Saccharomyces cerevisiae S288C: one gene and its partners. The gene in region 1 interacts genetically with each later gene. Each region holds a gene or a part of one and is shown in the gene's direction. Other genes may lie near its edges. The genes, in order: YKL033W-A, DAL4, TDA2 and RGI1.

Region 1 (5,269 bases):
AAGGAGAAATTTCATAAATAAGAAAAATGACCGTTGGAAGTTGTTAAATCTTCAGATTGATTTCTCAGATAAGGCTGAAAAGGAAAAGCATTCCATATACTCGAAGGCTGTATATGACATTCAACGTGGTAGAATTCTTTCTATTTCTCAGAGTTCTAAATTTCATTCATTGTTCGCCCTTCCTCATTACATGTCCTTCCAGAATGATTATAATGAGAAAATATTTAATGATGTCAAGGAACTCGTTGATGAATTTTGGAATTTCACGGATTACACAGATGTCATGACCATGAAAGACGTACAGGATGCTTATAATAATGCCAACTTTAAATGTGAGTATTTGATTTTTCTTCAGTTGGAACCATGGAATCAGTACACAAGAGATCAGATCAAGTTAATAGATGATGAATTGAATTGGCCCCTGGGGCGTCCGGCAAATCTGTCTAGTTTACCGCCCATAAATGTTGTCTCTGGATTACTGTATTCTCCAGACTGTGGCGTACGATTAGGGCTTCATAACGTAAAGGGTACACGGTACGAATTAAAAATAATGTCGATCAGAAAACATCTATTGTTCGGTATTGCATTATTTGCAGCCCAGATATACTTATTGCTTACTCAGATGCATCATACAAATACCCCCTCCATGGTCAACAAAATCTCATTCTATTGTTTCTCAATGATAAACTTAGTCGATGGTTCCTTGGCCACTTTGTACTTTGTCGCAGCTAGTGTCGTTCCCGAATTGTACTTACCCCTAGTTATAAGTGCTTTTTCGTGCTTTATCTTGGCATCTATTTTTGAAATACGCTACTTAATTTCAATTTACGCTTCACAGGTTAACGAACAGAATGTTGGGATTATCAACCTCCTGCGTGGTAACACTGGCACATATGATGAGAATAGGCCAAGACCCGCATTCATTCCCGATGAAGGGTCTATCGGTGGCTCGTTATATGGTAGGTTTTTCTTTATGCTAATCATTTTCACGTTTTTAATATTGAGTTCAACTTCATGGCCCCGTCAGCTAAGGATGGTATTTGAGTATATCCTAATCTTCATATTAAACTCATATTGGATCCCTCAAATTTTCCGTAACGCCGTTAAAGGTATTCCTTCAAGAAGAGAAAGAGCAAGATCTAGCATTGGAGGAAATAGAAGTCAAAACAAAATGCCATTATTGTGGAGTTTTGTAATTGGTACAACAATAATTAGAAGCTTGCCCGTTGTGTATGTTTTCACTTACTCCTCTAATGTGTTCAGGCACCATAAAGATGTTCATTTCGTCGTATTTTTATCATTGTGGCTACTGTTTCAAATTAGTATACTGTATTCTCAAGATGTATTGGGATCGCGCTGGTTCTTGCCTAAGCACACAATACCTGATGGATATTCGTATTTCAAGCCCCTTTCAAACGAGTATATATCGGAGCATGGTGGTGGAACTGCTGAACATACCGTTGATTGCGCGATATGTATGTCTGATGTTCCAATTTACATAGAGGAAATTCCAGAAACTCATAAGGTGGATCAGCACTCTTACATGGTAACGCCTTGTAATCACGTATTTCATACTTCGTGTCTAGAAAACTGGATGAATTATAAGTTACAATGTCCTGTGTGTAGGTCACCATTACCTCCGTTGTAGATAGCATCTCTTGATCCTAAGAACTATATACTGTATTTGTATTCAAGATCCAAGATACCGTGACATTTCCTATTTGTCAACCATTGCAATAAGAAATTTTACATGAATAGTGCATTAACTTTTTATTACCACTAAAGTAGTTTTGCTTAAATATACAATAGGCAAACTAGACTTAGGATAATTCACAAGGGTTTTTAGTGTTACCCTTTTTCCGTATGACACATTTTTCGAGGAATTAATTATTGGGAAAATATTGCCGATCAAGATCCATTGAGGTGAATCTAAATCGCTCCAACTCCAAGTTGGGGAATCTTAAGACCGTCACTGCCTTCCAATTACACTGCTTTTGTTTCTTTGACAATAAGAACGCAAAAGTAAATTTCTTTTTTTTAACAAATTATGACACATCCTGTAGCAGTGAAGGCATGTCTATTTGACATGGATGGTCTTCTCATCAACACAGAGGATATTTATACTGAAACTTTAAATGAAACTCTCGCAGAATTTGGTAAGGGACCTTTAACTTGGGATGTGAAGATTAAATTGCAAGGGCTTCCGGGACCGGAAGCAGGAAAAAGGGTGATCGAACACTACAAATTACCAATAACTTTAGATGAGTACGACGAAAGAAATGTTGCATTGCAATCTCTTAAATGGGGTACTTGCGAATTTCTTCCCGGTGCATTGAATTTGTTGAAATACTTAAAGTTAAAGAACATTCCTATTGCATTATGTACGTCTTCGAACAAGACTAAATTTCGCGGCAAAACAAGTCATTTAGAGGAAGGTTTTGATCTTTTCGATACCATTGTCACTGGTGATGATCCAAGAATTGCAAAAGGTAGGGGTAAGCCTTTCCCGGACATTTGGCAGTTGGGTTTAAAGGAATTGAATGAGAAGTTTCATACCGATATTAAGCCCGATGAGTGTATAGTGTTCGAAGATGGTATTCCAGGCGTAAAATCAGCCAAGGCATTTGGTGCACACGTTATTTGGGTCCCCCATCCAGAAGCACATGCTGTTTTGGGGGACACAGAAGCTTTGTTAGCCGGTAAAGGTGAACTATTGTCTTCTTTGGAAAAACTGGAAATGTCCAAATATGGACTGTGAATTTCCAGTATTTACGTAAACAATATATTTGTATATTGCACTAAGTATAAAAAGGGATGATTTGTATTTGATTTATCACACTACTTTATGTGGTGAGCTCAGTTATTTTTGTATAATATACTATAGTACATGTTTGGGTTTTTATCGTTTTATTTCAATCTCATTACAATAAAATATTATAGTGAACATGCACATCGAAAGGAAAGATTGCAATAGCTGGTGTTCAAAAGCTTTGTGCAAATGAATTCAGACACGAATGCATTTAAGGACATAAGAATTTCATGTGTTGAACTTTCTAGGATCGCTTTTTTACCCACCGAATCATTTGATCCAAATTCATTAACGCTATTGGCATGTTTAAAAAAAGTTGAAGAGAAGTTATCAGCATACGAAGACGATTCACTTTCGCCAAAATTTGCAGATTATGTTTTTGTTCCTATCGCGAGTTTATTGAAACAGCCAGCTCTCGGCGAGTCTCAAACAGAATACGTCCTACTAATTATATTTCATCTCTTACGGACATGTTGGTCATCTAATGGTAAATTCTCCGAGCAATTGGGACAACAACTGTTCCCCTTAATCACATTTTTAGTCAGTTCTGATAAAGATAATCAAAAATTAATTACTAGATCAGACGAGTTCAAGTACGCTGGTTGTTTAGTCTTGCATCAGTTTTTCAAATCAGTAAGATCGCAAAGGTACCATAAAGAGTTCTTTTCGAACTCAAAACCTAATTTACTTCCCGCTCTAGGACATTCTGTTACCATTCTGTTGAAAATTCTGGAGCAATCGCCCCAAAATAATGAGCTTCAATTCAAAGCTTTGGCATCCTTAGAAGTACTATTTCAGGACATAATATCTGATGGTGAAATGCTTTCCTTTATTCTTCCGGGGAACGTTTCTGTTTTCGCTAAGATACTTACTAAACCAGGCCGTCAAATACATTATAAGGTGTGTGTTCGCACGCTAGAGGTTCTGGCAAAATTATTGGTTTTGGTTTACGATGATTTTAGTTTGGATATCAAAGTAAATAAGTTAACAGATATTCGAGAGTTGAGCGATACAAAGTTAAAACACGAGATAAATCAATCATTTATGTTTAATGGACCTATTGTTTTGTTACGCACAGATGGGAAGACGCATAGAGATACAAGTTGGTTGACGGCAACTTCTGGGCAAATCAATATTGCTTTGGAGGCCTTTATACCCAAACTATTAAAACGTAATAATGAATCAATTGATGAGGCATTAGCGACATTTGTATCAATCCTTTTAACTAGATGTGAAAATTCTTTAAATAATTGTGAGAAAGTGTTGGTATCCACTTTAGTACATTTGGAGCGTGATCCGATGTCCAAATTACCATCGCATTTGGTAAAATTAAAGGAAGTTGTCAATGAAGACCTGCACAAGCTAAGTGACATTATTCGGTTTGAAAATGCAGATAGGTTATCATCTTTATCATTTGCAATCACTATTCTAGAGAAAAATAACGAAAGAGATACAATGATCAATGAGGTAGTTAGATGTTTATTTGAATCGCTTAATGAATCTATTGAGCCACCAAGTTTGATCAATCATAAAGAGAGAATAATTGAACAAAGTAGTCAATTAACAACTACAGTAAATTTCGAAAACTTGGAAAGTACGAATGCTCTGATTGCTTTACCAAGATTATCAGAAGACATGTCACTCAAACTGAAAAAATTTACATACCATATGGGTTCTTTGTTGTTAGAAAGACATATTCTCAACGATGTGGTGACAGAGTTGATTTCAGAACAAGTTGATTCACCAAGAACGCAGAAGATAGTTGCGCTGTGGTTAAGCACCAATTTTATAAAGGCTATGGAAAAGCAACCGAAGGAGGAAGAAGTCTATCTACAATTTGAATCTGATGCCAACTATTCCTCTTCCATGGTTGAAGAAGTGTGTTTGATTGTATTGGAATTTTGCAATGAACTTTCTCAAGACATTAGCATGGAGATTGAAGGTAAAGGCATAAAAAAAAGTGATGAGTTTGCCGTATGTACAGTTTTATTCTCTATTGAAACGATTTGTGCGGTAATGAGAGAAGAATTTCAACCAGAATTGATTGACTATATATACACAGTAGTTGACGCCTTGGCATCACCGTCCGAAGCCATTAGGTATGTGAGCCAATCCTGTGCATTGAGGATAGCAGATACCCTATATCATGGGTCTATCCCAAACATGATCTTAAGCAACGTAGATTATCTTGTAGAATCTATTTCCTCAAGATTGAATTCTGGGATGACTGAACGAGTGAGCCAAATATTAATGGTGATTTGCCAATTGGCTGGCTATGAAACCATTGAAAATTTTAAAGATGTTATTGAAACGATATTTAAACTACTGGATTATTATCATGGATATAGTGATCTCTGTCTTCAATTTTTCCAACTATTTAAAATCATCATTTTGGAGATGAAGAAAAAATATATCAATGATGATGAGATGATTTTGAAAATAGCTAATCAACACATTTCA
Region 2 (6,859 bases), on another chromosome or scaffold:
ACTTCATTGGGGAACAAGCATTGATCAATGAATCGGTTCGTTTCATCGAAGTATTGCAGCACATCAGTCACATCATCATCATCGATGGGTATGTTTTTTAGCGTGTAACCTTTCCTTATTAGATACTCTGGAATGACCTGGAATTTGATAACAGAAAGAATATGAGTAATGTTAAATTCTGCACCCAATGGTCTGTGGTCAATAATTGGACGGATTCCGCCAAGATATATGCCTCCTAATATCCTGGTAACTTCCTCGTCTACTGAGTTTGCATTTCCAGCCATCTTCCCTGTAATTTCTTGCTGCTTTTACTGCTTTCTCTGCGTTATACCTGTATTAGATGCATTCGATGAGCTGAGGTATAATTTTTTTTTTCAGTTAGATTTCTTTTTTTTAGCGCTAAGAAAATTTCAAAATTGCAGCCGTGGAGACCCAGATGGATATATTGTAGATCATTAAAAGTTGTGTCATCTCAAACTAAGAGTGGTTAATATATGTATGTGTGTAAATAACTTTTTATAAATTTGTTTCTTTTATTTCTATAGAATTTCTTTAATAAAAATTTGCAACTTTAGTTTAACGTCTAGAATCAAGCAAAGTTTGACCCAATGGTGTTTTCGAGACTCCGTTGGCATTCGTATATACCACCTGGCCTCTTAATATGGTTTTCAAAACTGTGCCCTTGACCGTCATCCCGTTGTAGGCAGTCAATTTGTTTTTGAAGTAGACACTTGAATTACTTATTTTATGTTTACTTGCAGTATCAAATACCACCAAATCAGCATCGTACCCGGGAGCTATAGTGCCTTTTTGGTGAGATAGTCCTACCTGATGGGATGTATTTTTACAGCACCATGTAACGATATCGACCAAAGAGCAGCCTTGGGTAAACATCAATGGCAAACCTAGTCCGACGGAAGCGATTCCTCCCCAAGAATCGAAAAAGTCACCTTTTTGCAAGTTCTTCAACTCAGGGGTGCATGGCGAATGGTCGCTCACTACTGAGCCTATAACACCTTCACGCAAAGCGTCCCATAGGCCTTGGCGATTAGACTCAGAGCGGATGGGTGGACAACATTTAAAGTAGGTGGCTCCGTCTGGGATCTGCTCTGCAGCAATACACAAATAGTGGAAACAAGTCTCTGTTGTGACTGGTAGCCCTGACGCACGTGCCTTTCTGATCAAGGGAATTGCTTTCATTGATGCCAGATGAACTATATGTACAGGAGGAACTGGTCCATTTCTGGCTCTCAAGCATTCGAGAATCAAATTGATGGCGTCTATTTCGAAAGAATCCGGCCTCGAGGACAAAAACGAAGAATATTCACGATGGCTTTGCTCGGGTTGCTGTTGGTCCTCATGTGCCTTGGGCAACTCAGCATGAAACATCATCATGGTATCCTCCTCGGCTAAGACCTTCAAGGCTTCTTCTATATATTCTTTGCCAATTGGAGGGAATTCTTCCACACCAGAATCAAGCAAGAATCCTTTGAACCCGCGAACGCCAGCTTTGACAAGCGGAATTAAGTCTGGCAAGTTGTGTGGTACCAGTCCACCCCAAAACCCAACATCGCACCACATTTGGCCCTCAGCAGCTTCCAATTTAATTCGGAAATTCTCCACATTTGTTGTGGGAGGAATAGCATTTAGCGGCATATCAACCACCGTTGTGACCCCGCCACTAATAGCAGCTTGAGTTCCAGTTTCGAATCCTTCCCAGCTAGTCCTACCGGGCTCGTTCAAGTGAACATGAGAGTCCACAAGTCCAGGCAGAATTGTACATGGAGATACGTTCTCCAGCGTATGTATTTCATATTTGGTTATCTCAGTTTTCTCCATAACCACGGAGCCTTCTAAAACATCCAGAATCGTGCCTGATTCGGTCGAATACACAATAGTCGCAGGTTTATTTGCACCATTGATAATGACATGGTCGGAAGTGATGGCATTGATAGGCATCTTTGTTCTTCGCAGTATTTCACTTTTTTTTTGCCTATACGTTTTTGCGAAATATACACTTTTCTAACCTAATTAAAGATAGCTAAAAGAAAAAGGGGTACCTTCAATTACAAGATACCAGTAGAAACTCATCACTTTTGCGTTACCTCATCATTGTCCCCTTCGATGAGATATGCCTCCTCTATATAGATAATTAAGCACCGCAATTTTGAACCACTTCTCCTGATAAAGTTCCATCAGTCCACCATCAACACATTTGCGCCTATTCGATGATCCGCAGTAAGGGACAATAGAATCGAAACATGCAGTTCCTTTCTTTCCTGCAATTCTCGGGTCTAATGTGGCTCGAGGGTATCTCTTATCGGTATTACTTTCTTATCAATGAAAAATTTCTGCCAGGGAAAATGCGCCCGCTTTTTTTCCGGCCATCCTTACTCGCTGTCGCATACAAAATAGCGCCTCTAATCTAGTTGCGATAAGGAATGTGTATGTGTAATTGAAGATCCAGGATGTTTTCCTTTTCAGGGAGATGAGAAGGAATAATAGGATGGATTGACCGCTTTGCTGTCACGTCGATAAGGTTCCTTTAAAAATTGTGTCCAATGATTAGCATAGAGAGGTAGAGTATCAGAGAAACAAGTTTGTAATCGAGAAACTTGATCTGCTAGTGTTGAGCATAGAAGGCTAGGAAAACATGGGGAAGAAAAAAAAAGTATAAATAATTAGCTTGATGAGTAGTTTGAATATATATGTTACTTTAGTTTCCCTTTTTGACCTTTTATATTCATCTACATCTTGTGATATAAAACATCAACAAAGACGAGAATGGCTAACGACGCTCTAAGTGCTATTTTCAGTAATCCTTCGAGGAAAGGTGTCCAACCCTCCACATCTATTGTGTCATATACAAACAATGAAGATGATATTATAGATGTGGAAAATGGGAAGTTCAACAAGAACAAGAATATCAACACTAATGTGTATGTGGACAACTCCTCAATAGAGGAGAGCGAAGTCGTGCCCTTGCCCGAAACAAAGTCCATCTGGAGTAAAATATACTACGATTTCATTGTGTTAGACAAGACAACTTTGAATGTTTCGTTGAAAGAGTCGTTCTTGTATAACAGAGACTTGAAACCGGTTGAAGAAGAAAGAAGGTGTTGGTCCTGGTTCAATTACTTATATTTCTGGCTGGCAGACTGTTTCAATATTAACACATGGCAAATAGCTGGTACAGGTCTACAACTAGGTCTGAATTGGTGGCAATGTTGGCTTACAGTTTGGATCGGCTACACTTTTGCAGGTATCTTCGTAGTATTGAACTCGAGATTTGGTTCCGCATATCACTTATCTTTCCCTATTACTGTTAGGGCCTCATTTGGTATATTCTTTTCTATGTGGCCGATTATAAATCGTGTCGTGATGGCTATAGTATGGTATGCCGTGCAAGCCTGGTTAGGTGCAACGCCCGTGGCACTGATGCTAAAATCTATTTTTGGCAAGAATCTGGAAGATAGAATCCCAAACCATTTTGGTTCTCCAAATAGCACTACTTTTGAATTCATGTGTTTCTTTATATTTTGGGTGGTCAGTATACCATTTGTCCTAGTGGCTCCTCATAAAATCAGGCATTTATTCACAGTAAAAGCAGCTTTGATCCCCTTCGCAGCCTTTGGATTTTTAATCTGGGCTTTGAAGAAATCGCACGGTAAAATTGAGTTGGGGACGCTGAATGATTATTCACCTCATGGTTCCGAATTTTCATGGATATTCGTTAGATCCCTAATGGCCTGTGTTGCTAACTTTGCCGCTTTGATTATCAACGCCCCTGACTTCGGTAGATTTGCCAAAAATCCTCAAGCGTCTTTGTGGCCACAATTGGTTGCCATCCCATTGTTCTTCGCCATAACATGTTTGATCGGTATCATTGTTACTGCGGCCGGTTATCACTTATATGGGGTTAACTATTGGTCACCACTGGATGTACTTGGTCAATTTTTGGAGACCACTTACACCAGAGGTACTAGGGCTGGTGTGTTCTTGATTTCTTTTGTATTTGCCTTAGCTCAACTGGGTACAAACATTTCTGCCAACTCTCTGGCATGTGGTGCTGATATGACGGCTTTGTTTCCAAGATATATTAATATTAGAAGAGGTTCTTTATTCTGTGTGGCAATGGCTCTATGTATCTGTCCATGGAACTTAATGGCCAGTTCAAGTAAGTTCACCAGCGCTTTGGGTGCTTATGCAATTTTCCTTTCCAGTATTGCTGGTGTCATTTGCGCGGATTATTTCGTAGTAAGAAGAGGATATGTGAAATTAACACATTTATTCCTGGCACAGAAGGGTTCCTTTTACATGTTTGGAAACAAATTTGGTGCCAATTGGAGGGCCTTTGTTGCGTATATTTGCGGTATCGCTCCAAATTTACCAGGTTTTATAGGTGATGTTGGAGCTCCAAAAATTACGGTTTCAGAGGGTGCAATGAGGTTATACTATTTAGGTTATCCGGTAGGTTTCTTTATTAGTGCGGTGATATACCTCATATTATGTTACTTTTTTCCTGTCCCTGGTACTCCCGTAACCAATTTTCTGACAGAGAAAGGATGGTTCCAAAGATGGGCTTATGTTGAGGACTTCGAGCAAGATTGGAAGAATGAGTTACGTAGGGATGACCTCTGCGATGACACAGTCAGTATCTATGATGGCACCGAGGAAAAGATAGTTTACTAAATAAAAATCCCAATTTATTCTCTTACCAGTAGTGATCAGGAGAATTGATAATTTCTTCAAAACACCTTAATATTCGTTCTGTGTATTTTTATGTACCTTTCTTAATCAAATTTATCAGCTTCATACATGCATTCCCGTCTGAATAATGTACTGATGATTAGCTAAACCGTCATCAACCTACCAAACTTGCGCTTGTTTGAGCCTATCAGAACTCCGGATAATTCCGACATCTTATCTTTGACTCGAATTAGCGATAAGATAAAAACACAGGAACCACAATGAAATTCAGCTGGAAGAAAAGTCTAAATTATAGACACATTTTCTGAGATCAAATGCTATAAAGGAATGGAAGTGCATTTTGCTATGATATGGGGAAATTATGAAGCCGATCAAACAATTAATTGTATCTAATCGGTCTCTTCTTTAGAAAAATGAAGTTTTTTAGTTTGGCAGATGAGGCAGAATTTAAGTCAATAATCATTTCAAAAAACAAAGCAGTAGATGTTATAGGATCTAAGTTAGGTGGTCAAGTGGTTTCTTTTTCAGATGAATGGTTTGCTTCTGCTGAAAATTTAATTCAGCCAACTGCTCCTATAAGGGATCCTACCAGATTTGTTCATTCAGGCGCATGGTACGACGGCTGGGAAACACGAAGACATAATGAGATGGAATACGATTGGGTTATCATCAAGATGGGAGTCGCTGCTGCCCATATTATTGGTGGTGAAATTGACACTGCGTTTTTCAATGGTAATCATGCACCATTTGTATCAATAGAGGCGCTCTATGACGAGGGCGAAGAAGGTAATATAGTGGAAGATGACTCGCGTTGGGTTGAGATTGTTGAGAAATTTGAGTGTGGTCCTTCGCAAAGGCATCTTTTCGTTAGAGGCAACGGCCTTACTAAAGAAAGGTTTACTCACATCAAGCTGAAGATGTACCCCGATGGAGGAATCGCCAGATTTAGATTATACGGAAGAGTTGTTCCTCCAGAACTCAAAACGAAGGATCATATAATTGACTTGGCTTATGTTTGCAATGGTGCTGTCGCTTTAAAGTATTCTGACCAACACTTCGGTTCAGTTGATAATTTGCTACTGCCAGGTCGAGGTCATGATATGTCGGACGGCTGGGAAACCAAAAGATCGAGACAACCAGGTCATACTGATTGGGCGGTAATTCAACTGGGCAGGGAGTCTTCTTTCATTGAGAAGATTATTGTTGATACGGCACACTTCAGGGGGAACTTCCCTCAGTTCATTACCGTGGAAGGTTGCTTGAAGGAGTCAGAATCAAGTGAGAACACTGGTGAAGGAACATGGGTAGAGCTAGTTGGTAAGTCAAAGACGGGGCCTGACAAAGAACATGTGTATGAAATACGTAAGAGTATAAGAGTCTCCCATGTCAAATTAACGATTATTCCAGATGGAGGAGTGAAAAGAATAAGAGTTTGGGGGTACTGATAAATACTTAACTACTGTATATTTTAAACCAATGCACTCTTGGCACTTTAAAAGTAAAGGTATAAATGTAGTTAAAAGTTTTTGTTTTGATAATTGAATGTTTTCATTTCGCTATCCCCACGCTACTTTATTTACTTCTTCTTCTTCACGACAAAACATTAAAATTTACACTCTATAAAAAACAATCATATTTCTATTTATTTTTGTGAGTTGACAAATCTTATCATAGTGATTAGAATCTGTAAACCGATCTCAATCGTGTCCAGAAACAGCGTGCCATCCCTTTGGAATGTTTTCGCCAGTTTATTTTGCAAACCCGAGAATCCTGCACAACCTAATATTACAATGTCTGAATCAAGCTTTTTAATATTTTCGCGATATATAATTTCTGCTATCTGCTGGAAATTTTCTGGACTATGTAGGTCGAGGACCTGTAAATCAGTAGATACCGTACCTTTCCATAAATTTTTGTTAACTGTATTCCCTGTCAAGAATTTCGATTCCACAGAGTTATTCAATATTGGAATCCATTCTTTATTTGAAGTAATAATAGAGAACTTCTTTCCAACCAAATTGCAATAATTAATACTACTATCTAATAACCCAACAATAGAAACATCTGCTTTTTCTTTAGCAGCTCTATCCTTTATCTTTGCTACCAAAGGATGATCTGAAAAACAGGCAATTAATATCCCGTTGAATTT
Region 3 (5,126 bases), on another chromosome or scaffold:
ATTCGAGTGTTTAAATTTGAGTTATAAATTTAACCAATTACGATACGGATTTCACATTTCTTTTCACAATGATTGCCATTAATATATTAGCCAATAGTTGCTGTTACGCCACCTTAAATTTGCAAAACATTTCTTCTTTTACTTTCTTTTCTCGTTATGGTACCTTTATTGCCTTTTATACTAACTCATGGCAACTTTAACATGGAATATGGGACGTCATCTTTCATCTGAGCACTTTTTAACATACCATTTCTGCTTAATCTATGTTGGTTTCTTGAAATCTTTGTTTTGAACTAATACCTAACCATCCTCTAGCTCTTGAAATTCACTATAGTTATTCAATTCTTCTTCGCTGAGACAAAGTTAAAGCGCTGGGTGGACAACCGAGTGAAACTTCCTTCCAAAGGAAGCAGCCTTCTGGAGTATTCCGTTAGTGACTGCGTGGCCCCGCCTACAGGACGCTTAGGTGATGAATACTCGCCGAGGCGTAGGCTGCGGCATCGGACAATCATATTTTATGACAGTGGAAGAAGCGCAAGAAATGAAAAGAAAGTTGTAGGATGTGTGGGCTTGTAAATGTGTGGGTGTACAGTCCCGATATTGGCATACATTATCACATCGATAGAGTTTTCTGTTTATATATCTCTCTGGCACTTGTATCTACCTATAAAGATGAAATTTTGAAAAACAGAACTAGTGAGCAATTTGATCAATGAAACGAATTTGATTACTATATATTTCAATATACAATATCACCAAAAAAAAAAAAAAAAGTAAAGAAGGTAATTTCTCACCTATGCTTAAGAATGTAAATACATTGTTCATTAATGTTTATCACGTTATTATTTTTTTGTTTTGTTTTTTTTTTTTTGAATATATCCTTGTTAGATTTTATCTGTATGTCACGAGGCATTTTTCATTATTCTATAATGTTTATCATACATACCTTCAATGAGCAGTCAACTCGGGCCTGAGTTACTTCAACGAATTGGCTTGTCAATGGCAATTCTGACAGATTTTGTTTGAGTGTAGTTACTTAAAGCAGCCTCACCCATTTCACGGCCAATACCTGACTGGCCGAAGCCACCGAAAGGAACATTTTGGTGGAAGTTGTTATAGGTATTTATCCAAACAGTACCAGCTTTCACTCTTTTGGACACATCAACAGCCTTGTTAATATCGTTAGTGTGAATACCTGCGGCTAACCCATATTGAGAATCATTTGCCATAGCAATCACTTCATCAACAGTAGAAAACTTGGATACAGTTACAATGGGACCAAACACTTCCTCCTTAACAATTCTCATATCTTCTTTGACATCAGCAAACACTGTTGGCTTGACAAAATAACCTTTACTGCCATGTCTGGCCCCTCCAGTCACAAGACGAGCCCCCTCTGATTTTGCTACATCGACATAGTCTAAAATTTTATGCAGCTGTTTGTCAGATGTTTGAGCACCTTGGAAAACTTCCTCATCAAATGGGTCACCGACCTTTAGTGACTCGGTGTAATCCTTTAGTTTTTGCAACACCTCCTCGTATACTGTATCTTGAATGTATATTCTGGAACCAGCGCAGCAAACTTCACCAGAGTTGTAAAAAATACCGAAGGCAATGTTCTTGACGGCTTTATCTAGATCAGCGTCAGCAAACACAATATTTGGTGATTTACCTCCCAGCTCCAAAGTGACTTTCTTGACAGTATCGGCAGCGACCTTCATAATATGGCGGCCGGTGGCAGTAGAGCCTGTAAAAGCAATCTTCTTCACGTCTGGGTGTGCACTCAATCTTTCTCCAACAACTCTACCGGAACCCGGAAGGATATTGACTACACCAGCGGGTATGCCTGCTTCCTGACACAACTGGGAAGCGAAAAGGGCAGATAAAGGTGTTGTTTCAGCGGGTTTCAATACGACGGTGTTACCTGTAGCCAGAGCAGGCCCAATTTTCCATGACCACATCAATAAAGGGAAGTTCCAAGGGATTATTTGGCCGCAAACGCCTAATGGTTCCTTAATTGAGTAGGTAAAATGGTTTTTACCTGTGTCAATAACGTTACCGTAGATTTTATCTGCCCAACCACCGCAAGAACGCAAGTATTTAGATACTAAAGCGACGTCACCGCGCGCACAAAACAATGACTTACCATTATCCATTGACTCAATGGCAGCCAGTGTTTCTTGGTGTTTCTCAACCAAGTCAGCGAGATTGAATAAAGCTTTAGCGCGAACCTCCGGCTCTACAATAGACCACTTCGTTTCAAAAGCTTTTTTAGCCGCTGCAACGGCTTCATCAACATCATCTTCCATAGCCTTGTATACAGTTGTTATCTTTTCTTCGTTAGATGGATTGATCACGTCAAACGTTTTCTTTTGCTTCGAGGCAACAAATTCACCATTGATGAATAACCCTGTTGGCTGTTCGTAGGTGAAACCATTTGGAAGAGTAATTGGAACGCGTAATGGTGCTTGAGAATAAAGACGTAACAAGCTTCTAGTGAATATTCTGGAATTCGGAGCTGCAGCTCTTGTGCGAGAAAGCATTTCTTCTTCTTTGGCTTTTTGTTAATGTTGTGAAGAAGTTTTCTGTCTTAACCACGTTTGATGAGACACTTATCGTATTGTTATATATGCTAAAAATGTCAAGAAGTCCTAAATTCAAAATAAATTAAGACGTTCTTTTTACATGGGGCTTATATAATCGTGTTTTGTTCTGTTCTTTGAAGCCATTCTCATCGAAAAACTCTAACAATCTGCGTAGTGATGAGTCAGAAGTCTTCCAACATTTTTAACGATACACAACCCCTCTCAGTTTGTGAAAAAAAAAAGAAAGAGAATAGCTTCCATCTTTTGGCGCCTTAAGCGGTATTCTAAAGGCTCCGCGAGCGAGCCTCTTTAACCTAATGCAAAAAAAAATTGTTACGCACGTTCCCGGCTTTTACCGTAATAGTAGTCAAGAGCTTAACTCTACGGCTAACAAGCGCTTGGTTGTACTACGCTCAGCGTACCATTAGGCCCTTGCTAGTCCGGTAGCGGCCAAAAAAAAAAATGGAACCCTTTTTGTATACTTATTTATCATTGATGTGTAAACGGCTTCTTAGGCTTACATAGCCACAAGAGAAAAGAAAGATGCCTCATCGAAATTAAAATTTTTTTATAGCGCTTGATATCTAGTGAAAGGGGCTGATTTTCAACTTGATATCCAAAAACGTAATGAGTACAAACAATAGCTCCTGAAACGTGAATATTTTTATTGTTCATGATTACCTATAGATGGATACTTTCTATATATGCGTATATATGAAACTAAATTATTTGTGAGCATCTTGAAAATACAGTTTGTGCGTAACCCACGCTTACGATATTGGAATTACAATTTCATAACTTAGTGTTAGCGTCATTGTACTTCAATCTTAATATAAAGTTGATAATGACAGCAACCAATAAGAAAAAGCACAACAAAGTGGGCCCCAATCTGTCATCATAAGGACCTGATCCTCTACGTCTAATCGCAGCAGCTCTCCAGTGGTATGTTACAAGCGCGTATATCATTGTACCCATGGCAACAAAAGTAAATAGTCCTGCACTGACCCTACCTATCTTGTCACCAAAATTCAGTAAACCTACACCAAGGCCTCCCAGCATAACTGTAAAGTTCAACCACGACAAAAAGGTACGCTCATTGGCAAAGAACACTTTTGGCTCAACTCGTGTGGGCAAAGCGATCTTTTTCCCAGGTGTTCTTTGTAATAATGGTGCTGAAGACATATTGTGGAAATCTGGCGTAGTGTTTAATCGTATTCGATAATGTAGTAAATCGTATGTTACGTGTATGCAAGTCGCTGGTTATGGAAATATGGACTCTTAAATACTGTTATCTATTTTGTATAATGCAGCATTCATTTTCTTCTCTCCGAGACACGTGCTAATATCTATTTCAAAGTGAAGTATCACCGACCGTAACAAGCGATATAACCATTAGTTATCTGATACGTGCTCAAAGATACTTGAAGAGAGAGTCTCATTATTTCTTGTCTCTATACATTTCCCAGTTTGCTATACTTAATCGCTCTTGCCATTCTATCCGAAAATAGCGATGCCAATATACCTCCTTTTTTGTAAATTTCTTTACTAGAAAATACGTATTCTTCTCTCTATTAGCGGATACCGTCTTGCAGTTTTACAAAACGCACTGTAAATTATTTAGGATAAGTGAAAGTAAGTGATTACGAAAGTCAACAAAAAAATGAGTATGCAGATTGAAATAAAGGATGGAAGGAGTGATAACTCTCCTCTGCCCGAAAGAAAACTAGTTACGTTAATTCAAGAAAGTTATGATAGTTTAAAAGATGACAATGAAATCAATTTATCGACCGAATCAACTTCCAACCTTCTTATAAAACTGGTCCTAGAAAAACTTGAAAAGCACTCTTCTTTGTATAAATATATTGCCTCGGTAACGACGTTGAACATTGAAGGACTCAACGAAGAAAACGCTAATTTCTCATTGAAGAACGATATAGGCGCATCCTGGGAATCTAAAAAAGATGGTATATTCAACTATAAACTAGAAGACAAAAATAATAATGAGTGCTATTTAATTACAATTCTTTGGCTTCACAAGTAGATATGTATTTGCTTTAATGTTGCCACATAAAGTTGCGTTCCTTTATAGAACAATGTTGCCTAGACCCCATTTCGGGGCAGGGGGGAATCTGTATCATGGCCTTCTTACAAGGACAGCTTAAAATGTTCATGTTAAATTATTCGACTTTTTTTATGTATATATGCAAAGTAGAAAAATAATTAGTAAACATATATAGGTACCTTTTAGCTTGGCATTAGAATGGAAACCAATTTTTTTATCAGAGAAAACAAAAGAAAATATAAATTACACCTCGAAGTAAACACCCAAATTTTGATAAATAGAATTGAAGAAATAAAAACTTAGCCCTCATTAACCCGAACACATTTCACAAGCTTCTGGGTTATCAATAGCACATGCTATAACCTTAGAGTTGTAAATGTCGAACTCGGTTTCCTCATCATCAACGATGGGGGCAGCTTTTTCTTCATTCTTAGTTGGGGCAGGTACTTCAGGAACTTCTACCTTAGACTCTTGAACGT
Region 4 (5,347 bases), on another chromosome or scaffold:
TATAATCACAAATCACCCAATTCTCAAATTCACTTGTTAAAATGAAAATACCAAAGCCTCATCATACCGTTCTATTGTCCATCTCCAACACAAAAGTACCATAATAATTTTCCGATTCGACACGAATACAGATAGATGGGCACATGGCAAACTTAGCTCAGTATGGGCTTGTAGGTTGTAAACGAGTCAGAAATTTCAACAATAAAAAATACATCAGATAGTGTTTCGATGTTCTTAATTACACGTGAATTATCAAAAACCATCAACATACCAGCCAACATCAGTGTAGGTGGAATAAAACTTTCTTACCATGTACAGTAAATGGACCATGACGCCGTGCACAAGCTTATGCATAATGAGCTAAGCGGGAAGACATTTTCAAACTACGTGATAGTTCCGACTGCCCTTTCAATTGCTAATGTAGCAATATGTTAGGAATGCAATATTCCAAAATGCTGTCTGTGTCAGTGAGAATAACAAAAACATTGAATAAACTTTTCTATGGTAATAACCACGCCAGATAAGGGCGTTGCCATCGTTTTCATTTTTTTTTTTTTTTCAAATGGTGGGGTCACCGTTGTGAAAAGAAACCTTTGATTCTCAACCATATCGGTACTCGGACTAATCACTTAAATCTTTCCAAGGGATTATCGAGAATGTCATAGTGCAAAATAATCTTAGCTTTCAATAATTTTTTCATTTGGAGTCACACTCCCGTTAAAACCTAGTCAACGGCTTCCACTTAAAGCTATCAACAAGGGGCAATTGATTTTGCATTTTCGTCTAAATGAAAGTTGCAGCCAGCAATTTACCCGAAGTTTAAATAAATCAATGCAAACCATGTTCAACTTAAACAGCAATCGCTTTCTATTACCTTGGAATTATATCAGAACGTCTATCTGCGAAGCTTTAATAAAGTACTGGAAGTTGTGTCTGAAATGTCTGTTTTGGTAAATTTGTTTGATCCTGATTATACACCTCAAAGGACCACGTTAAGTGGCCATATGACGAGTGTTATTGCGTGCTTGCAAGTTGAAGATAATTATGTCATTACAGGAGGATGTGATAAAACGATCAGAGTTTATAACTTAGTAAATAAAAGATTTCTTTTACAACTATCAGGTCATGATGGTGAGGTTTGGGCATTGAAGTATGCCCATGGCGGTATTTTAGTCAGCGGTTCTACAGGCAGAACGGTGCGAGTTTGAGATATTAAGAAAGGTTGTTGTACCCATGTGTTTAAAGGTCATAACTCTACGGTGAGGTGCCTAGATATAGTAGAATATAAAAATATCAAGTACATTGTTACTGGTTCGAGAGATAACACTTTGCACGTTTGGAAATTGCCCAAGGAGTCCTCCGTTCCTGATCATGGGGAAGAACATGATTATCCATTAGTCTTTCATACCCCTGAGGAGAACCCATATTTTGTTGGTGTTTTAAGAGGACATACGGCGACTGTAAGAACTGTCTCAGGCCACGGTAATATTGCCATTAGTGGCTCCTATGATAATACATTGATTGTGTGGGATGTTGCGCAAATGAAATGTCTATATATCTTGAGTGGACATACGGATCGTATTTATTCGACAATCTACGATCATGAAAGAAAAAGGTGCATCTCTGCCAGTATGGATACCACTATTAGAATTTGGGATTTGGAAAATATAAGGAATAATGGAGAATGTTCCTACGCAACAAATTCAGCATCGCCATGCGCCAAAATACTTGGTGCTATGTACACTTTGCGGGGTCACAGAGCCCTAGTCGGTTTATTGGGATTATCCGATAAATTTTTAGTCAGTGCTTCTGTAGACGGTTCAATAAGGTGTTGGGACGCTAACACTTACTTTCTGAAGCACTTTTTCGATCACACGCAGTTGAATACAATCACCGCATTGCACGTTTCTGATGAGGTATTAGTGAGTGGATCTGAAGGTTTGCTCAATATTTATGATTTAAATAGTGGGCTGTTAGTCCGTTCAGATACATTGAGTGGTGCTGATAATGTTTGGAACGTTAGTTTTAAGGACAACACACTTGTGGCAGCGGTAGAACGAGACAAGCGAAATCTTTTAGAAATTTTGGACTTTAGTTGAAGATTGATGTGAGAATGATGCAGAACTTACCTTGTCACGTTTGGAACTCAGTTGTACTTTTTCGGTGTAAACAAATATAAAACTTTAGAATTTACATTAATAAGTTATGTGCTATTTATTAGTTTAATATATCAACATTAATTACATGCGAGCTATGTATTATTAGCTCAATCAGCAGGACTAAAATCGAGGAAAAAGTAATTTTGTTTATGCCCAGTTCAGTTATCGTCCATTTGTAGCAAATGTGGTACAAGTTGACCCATATTTTCATGCATTGGGCCATGCAGTAATTATCACACTCACTTTGTCATAATGTATACAATGGCCGCTTATTTGCGACTCGTCTCATATTTTTCCTGAAACTGTAGCTGTGTGTAATATTATTCATTAACTTCGATAATTCGGCTACAGAAGACAAGAGCTACATCCTTACTGGTGCGAATAAATGACATAATCTGTCAAGAGTACCGAAGTAAAAGCAACGATTGCCGAACACATCTTCCTGAAGTATCATATGCCAATACAAGGTTTCAATAGGAATTATGAAAGCGGCATTATCACCCTTAATCTGAAATATGTAATGATGACGGTGCAGTATGTTGACTACATTGTAAAGTTGCACTTTCACTCAACTCATGAAATTGATGACATTAATCCTACGTGACTTACACATATGCCATGAACGAAGAAGGTGGCACCAAAAATCCAGCGTTTCCGATATACACGCAGTCAAATGTTCAGACTAAACTTTGGTATTCTGACAACGTGTTGTCATACCTGTTACGAGCCAGAAACGTATTTCTTTTTGGGTGATACAATCTCCAGATGACTGCTTTTTTTTTTTTTACCCCAGATTCAGGGGCCGAAGGAACGGAAATGCGGTGTGGCGAGATTGCGGATGTGCTAAAAAATAATATCCTCGAGGCAACCAGCATAATGTGGACGGCTCTCGGCAATTGACTTCCATAACAAATGCATCCTGTAATCAGGGGTATTATAAGTTACTGTATGGTTAATTAAATATAGAATGAAAGGGGCAGCGTTCTTAAGGGGTATTGCTGGGTGGAAAAATACAAGTGTCTTTACTTGATTGTGTGCACATATATAAGGCAAAAGATTTCTAGCGTATATTTGAATCTTTTGTTCTTCCACGTTCAAATTTCTTTGGTCAAAACATTTCATAAAGGGACAAGTTCTGCATTGTATTCTAATAATTGCCCATAGAACATATAAATTAGGTATCGACTGTTTTCGTCTCCACTTTAAATGACAAAGAAGGATAAGAAGGAAGTAAAAGTTCAAACGGTTACCACGGAGGATGGTGAAACCGTGAAAGTTTTTGAAGACCTGCAGGGTTTTGAAACTTTCATTGCCAATGAAACTGAAGATGATGATTTCGATCATTTGCACTGTAAATTAAATTACTACCCACCATTTGTGCTACACGAGTCGCACGAGGACCCTGAAAAAATTAGTGATGCTGCAAATTCTCATTCTAAGAAGTTCGTGCGTCACCTGCACCAGCATATTGAAAAGCATCTTTTGAAAGATATTAAGCAAGCCGTTAGGAAACCTGAGCTTAAATTTCACGAAAAATCGAAGGAAGAGACATTTGATAAAATCACCTGGCATTACGGTGAGGAAACTGAATACCATGGTAGACCTTTCAAGATAGACGTTCAAGTAGTTTGCACACATGAAGATGCTATGGTATTTGTCGATTACAAAACACATCCTGTAGGCGCAAATTAAAGGTTGTGTCATAGAGAATGTGTTAGTACTGAATCCTAACCTCCCAAATTCATAAGTAGTTTTATGTACCTTTAATGATTTACGATTAGCAACTTTTTGAATTTTTTTTATTGAAATGTTGAGCCCGAAGACGTGAAACGCTATAAAGTAGTATCACTGTTACGCCGCGAAACCTGATAATGTATTGTTAAACTACTACCTGGTCGATGATTATATCGACGCTTCTAAAATGAATGCTATTACCCGAACTTCCACTTGATTGCCGTCTCTTCCCGGGTAACATTGTAAGTGTGAATATGATTTTTTTTTTTGCTTTCTCTTTTCAAAATTTCCGAAAAGCATATCAAGACGTGTACTACATACAGTAAAAGCCCTCCTAGGGTTTTCAGTAGTGGTTCGAATAGTATAGATTACTGCTTTTGTTACTCTGCAACAATCCCAAAACTTAATAAAAAGTACAAAAGACCAAATAAAAGTATCGTATATAATCCAGTCATAATGATGAATCCACACGTTCAAGAAAATTTGCAAGCAATCCACAACGCCTTAAGCAATTTTGATACGTCATTTTTATCGGAGGATGAAGAAGATTATTGCCCTCTTTGTATTGAACCAATGGATATTACTGATAAAAATTTTTTTCCTTGTCCCTGTGGTTATCAAATTTGTCAATTTTGCTACAATAATATCAGACAAAATCCAGAATTAAATGGCCGTTGCCCAGCATGTCGTCGTAAATATGATGACGAGAACGTCAGATACGTCACATTATCTCCGGAGGAGTTAAAAATGGAGAGAGCCAAGCTCGCTAGGAAGGAGAAAGAAAGAAAGCATAGAGAAAAAGAACGTAAAGAGAATGAATATACGAATAGGAAACATTTATCTGGTACCAGAGTTATCCAAAAGAATTTAGTGTACGTTGTTGGCATCAATCCTCCTGTTCCATACGAGGAAGTTGCGCCCACTCTGAAATCTGAAAAATATTTTGGCCAATATGGTAAGATAAATAAGATTGTGGTTAATAGAAAAACACCCCATTCTAACAACACAACCAGCGAGCATTATCACCATCATTCACCAGGATATGGCGTTTACATAACCTTCGGATCCAAGGACGATGCTGCAAGATGTATAGCTCAGGTAGACGGGACGTATATGGATGGCCGCCTGATCAAAGCTGCCTACGGTACTACTAAATACTGTTCTTCTTATTTAAGAGGATTGCCATGCCCAAATCCCAACTGTATGTTTTTGCATGAACCTGGTGAAGAAGCTGATTCTTTTAATAAAAGAGAACTCCACAATAAACAACAAGCGCAACAGCAAAGTGGCGGAACTGCATTCACTAGATCTGGAATACACAACAATATATCTACCAGTACCGCTGGTTCAAATACCAATTTACTAAGTGAAAATTTCACAGGCACACCTTCACCGGCGGCGATGAGGGCTCAGTTACATCATGACAGCCATACAAACGCTGGAACACCGGTATT

Evidence for each region.
Region 2: mutations in YKL033W-A (region 1) and DAL4 together harm fitness more than expected from each alone (negative genetic interaction), as found in Saccharomyces cerevisiae (2 studies listed by BioGRID).
Region 3: mutations in YKL033W-A (region 1) and TDA2 together harm fitness more than expected from each alone (negative genetic interaction), as found in Saccharomyces cerevisiae (2 studies listed by BioGRID).
Region 4: mutations in YKL033W-A (region 1) and RGI1 together harm fitness more than expected from each alone (negative genetic interaction), as found in Saccharomyces cerevisiae (2 studies listed by BioGRID).

What each region holds. Positions count from the first base shown.
Region 1 is NC_001143.9:372,458-377,726, forward strand, and holds YKL033W-A (haloacid dehalogenase superfamily protein), read left to right. Parts: upstream 1-2,047; coding exon 2,048-2,758; downstream 2,759-5,269. Other genes in the region: ubiquitin-protein ligase TUL1, read left to right, coding at 1-1,648; TTI1 (Tti1p), read left to right, coding at 2,999-5,269. UniProt on the Saccharomyces cerevisiae protein: Nucleotidase with XMP as the best in vitro substrate. Low catalytic efficiencies of YKL033W-A observed with XMP and other substrates suggest that these could be secondary activities for this protein, and its primary substrate is not yet identified.
Region 2 is NC_001141.2:405,684-412,542, forward strand, and holds DAL4 (allantoin permease), read left to right. Parts: upstream 1-2,784; coding exon 2,785-4,692; downstream 4,693-6,859. Other genes in the region: tyrosine protein phosphatase YVH1, read right to left, coding at 1-284; DAL1 (allantoinase), read right to left, coding at 577-1,959; DAL2 (allantoicase), read left to right, coding at 5,124-6,155; DCG1 (Dcg1p), read right to left, coding at 6,353-6,859. UniProt on the Saccharomyces cerevisiae protein: Transport of allantoin.
Region 3 is NC_001137.3:301,447-306,572, reverse strand, and holds TDA2 (Tda2p), read left to right. Parts: upstream 1-4,245; coding exon 4,246-4,626; downstream 4,627-5,126. Other genes in the region: 40S ribosomal protein eS24 RPS24A, read right to left, coding at 248-250; aldehyde dehydrogenase (NAD(P)(+)) ALD5, read right to left, coding at 981-2,543; VTC1 (Vtc1p), read right to left, coding at 3,378-3,767; ribonucleotide-diphosphate reductase subunit RNR1, read right to left, coding at 4,957-5,126.
Region 4 is NC_001137.3:288,701-294,047, forward strand, and holds RGI1 (Rgi1p), read left to right. Parts: upstream 1-3,365; coding exon 3,366-3,851; downstream 3,852-5,347. Other genes in the region: RRT13 (Rrt13p), read left to right, coding at 1,542-2,099; CCR4-NOT core ubiquitin-protein ligase subunit MOT2, read left to right, coding at 4,350-5,347. UniProt on the Saccharomyces cerevisiae protein: Involved in the control of energetic metabolism and significantly contribute to cell fitness, especially under respiratory growth conditions.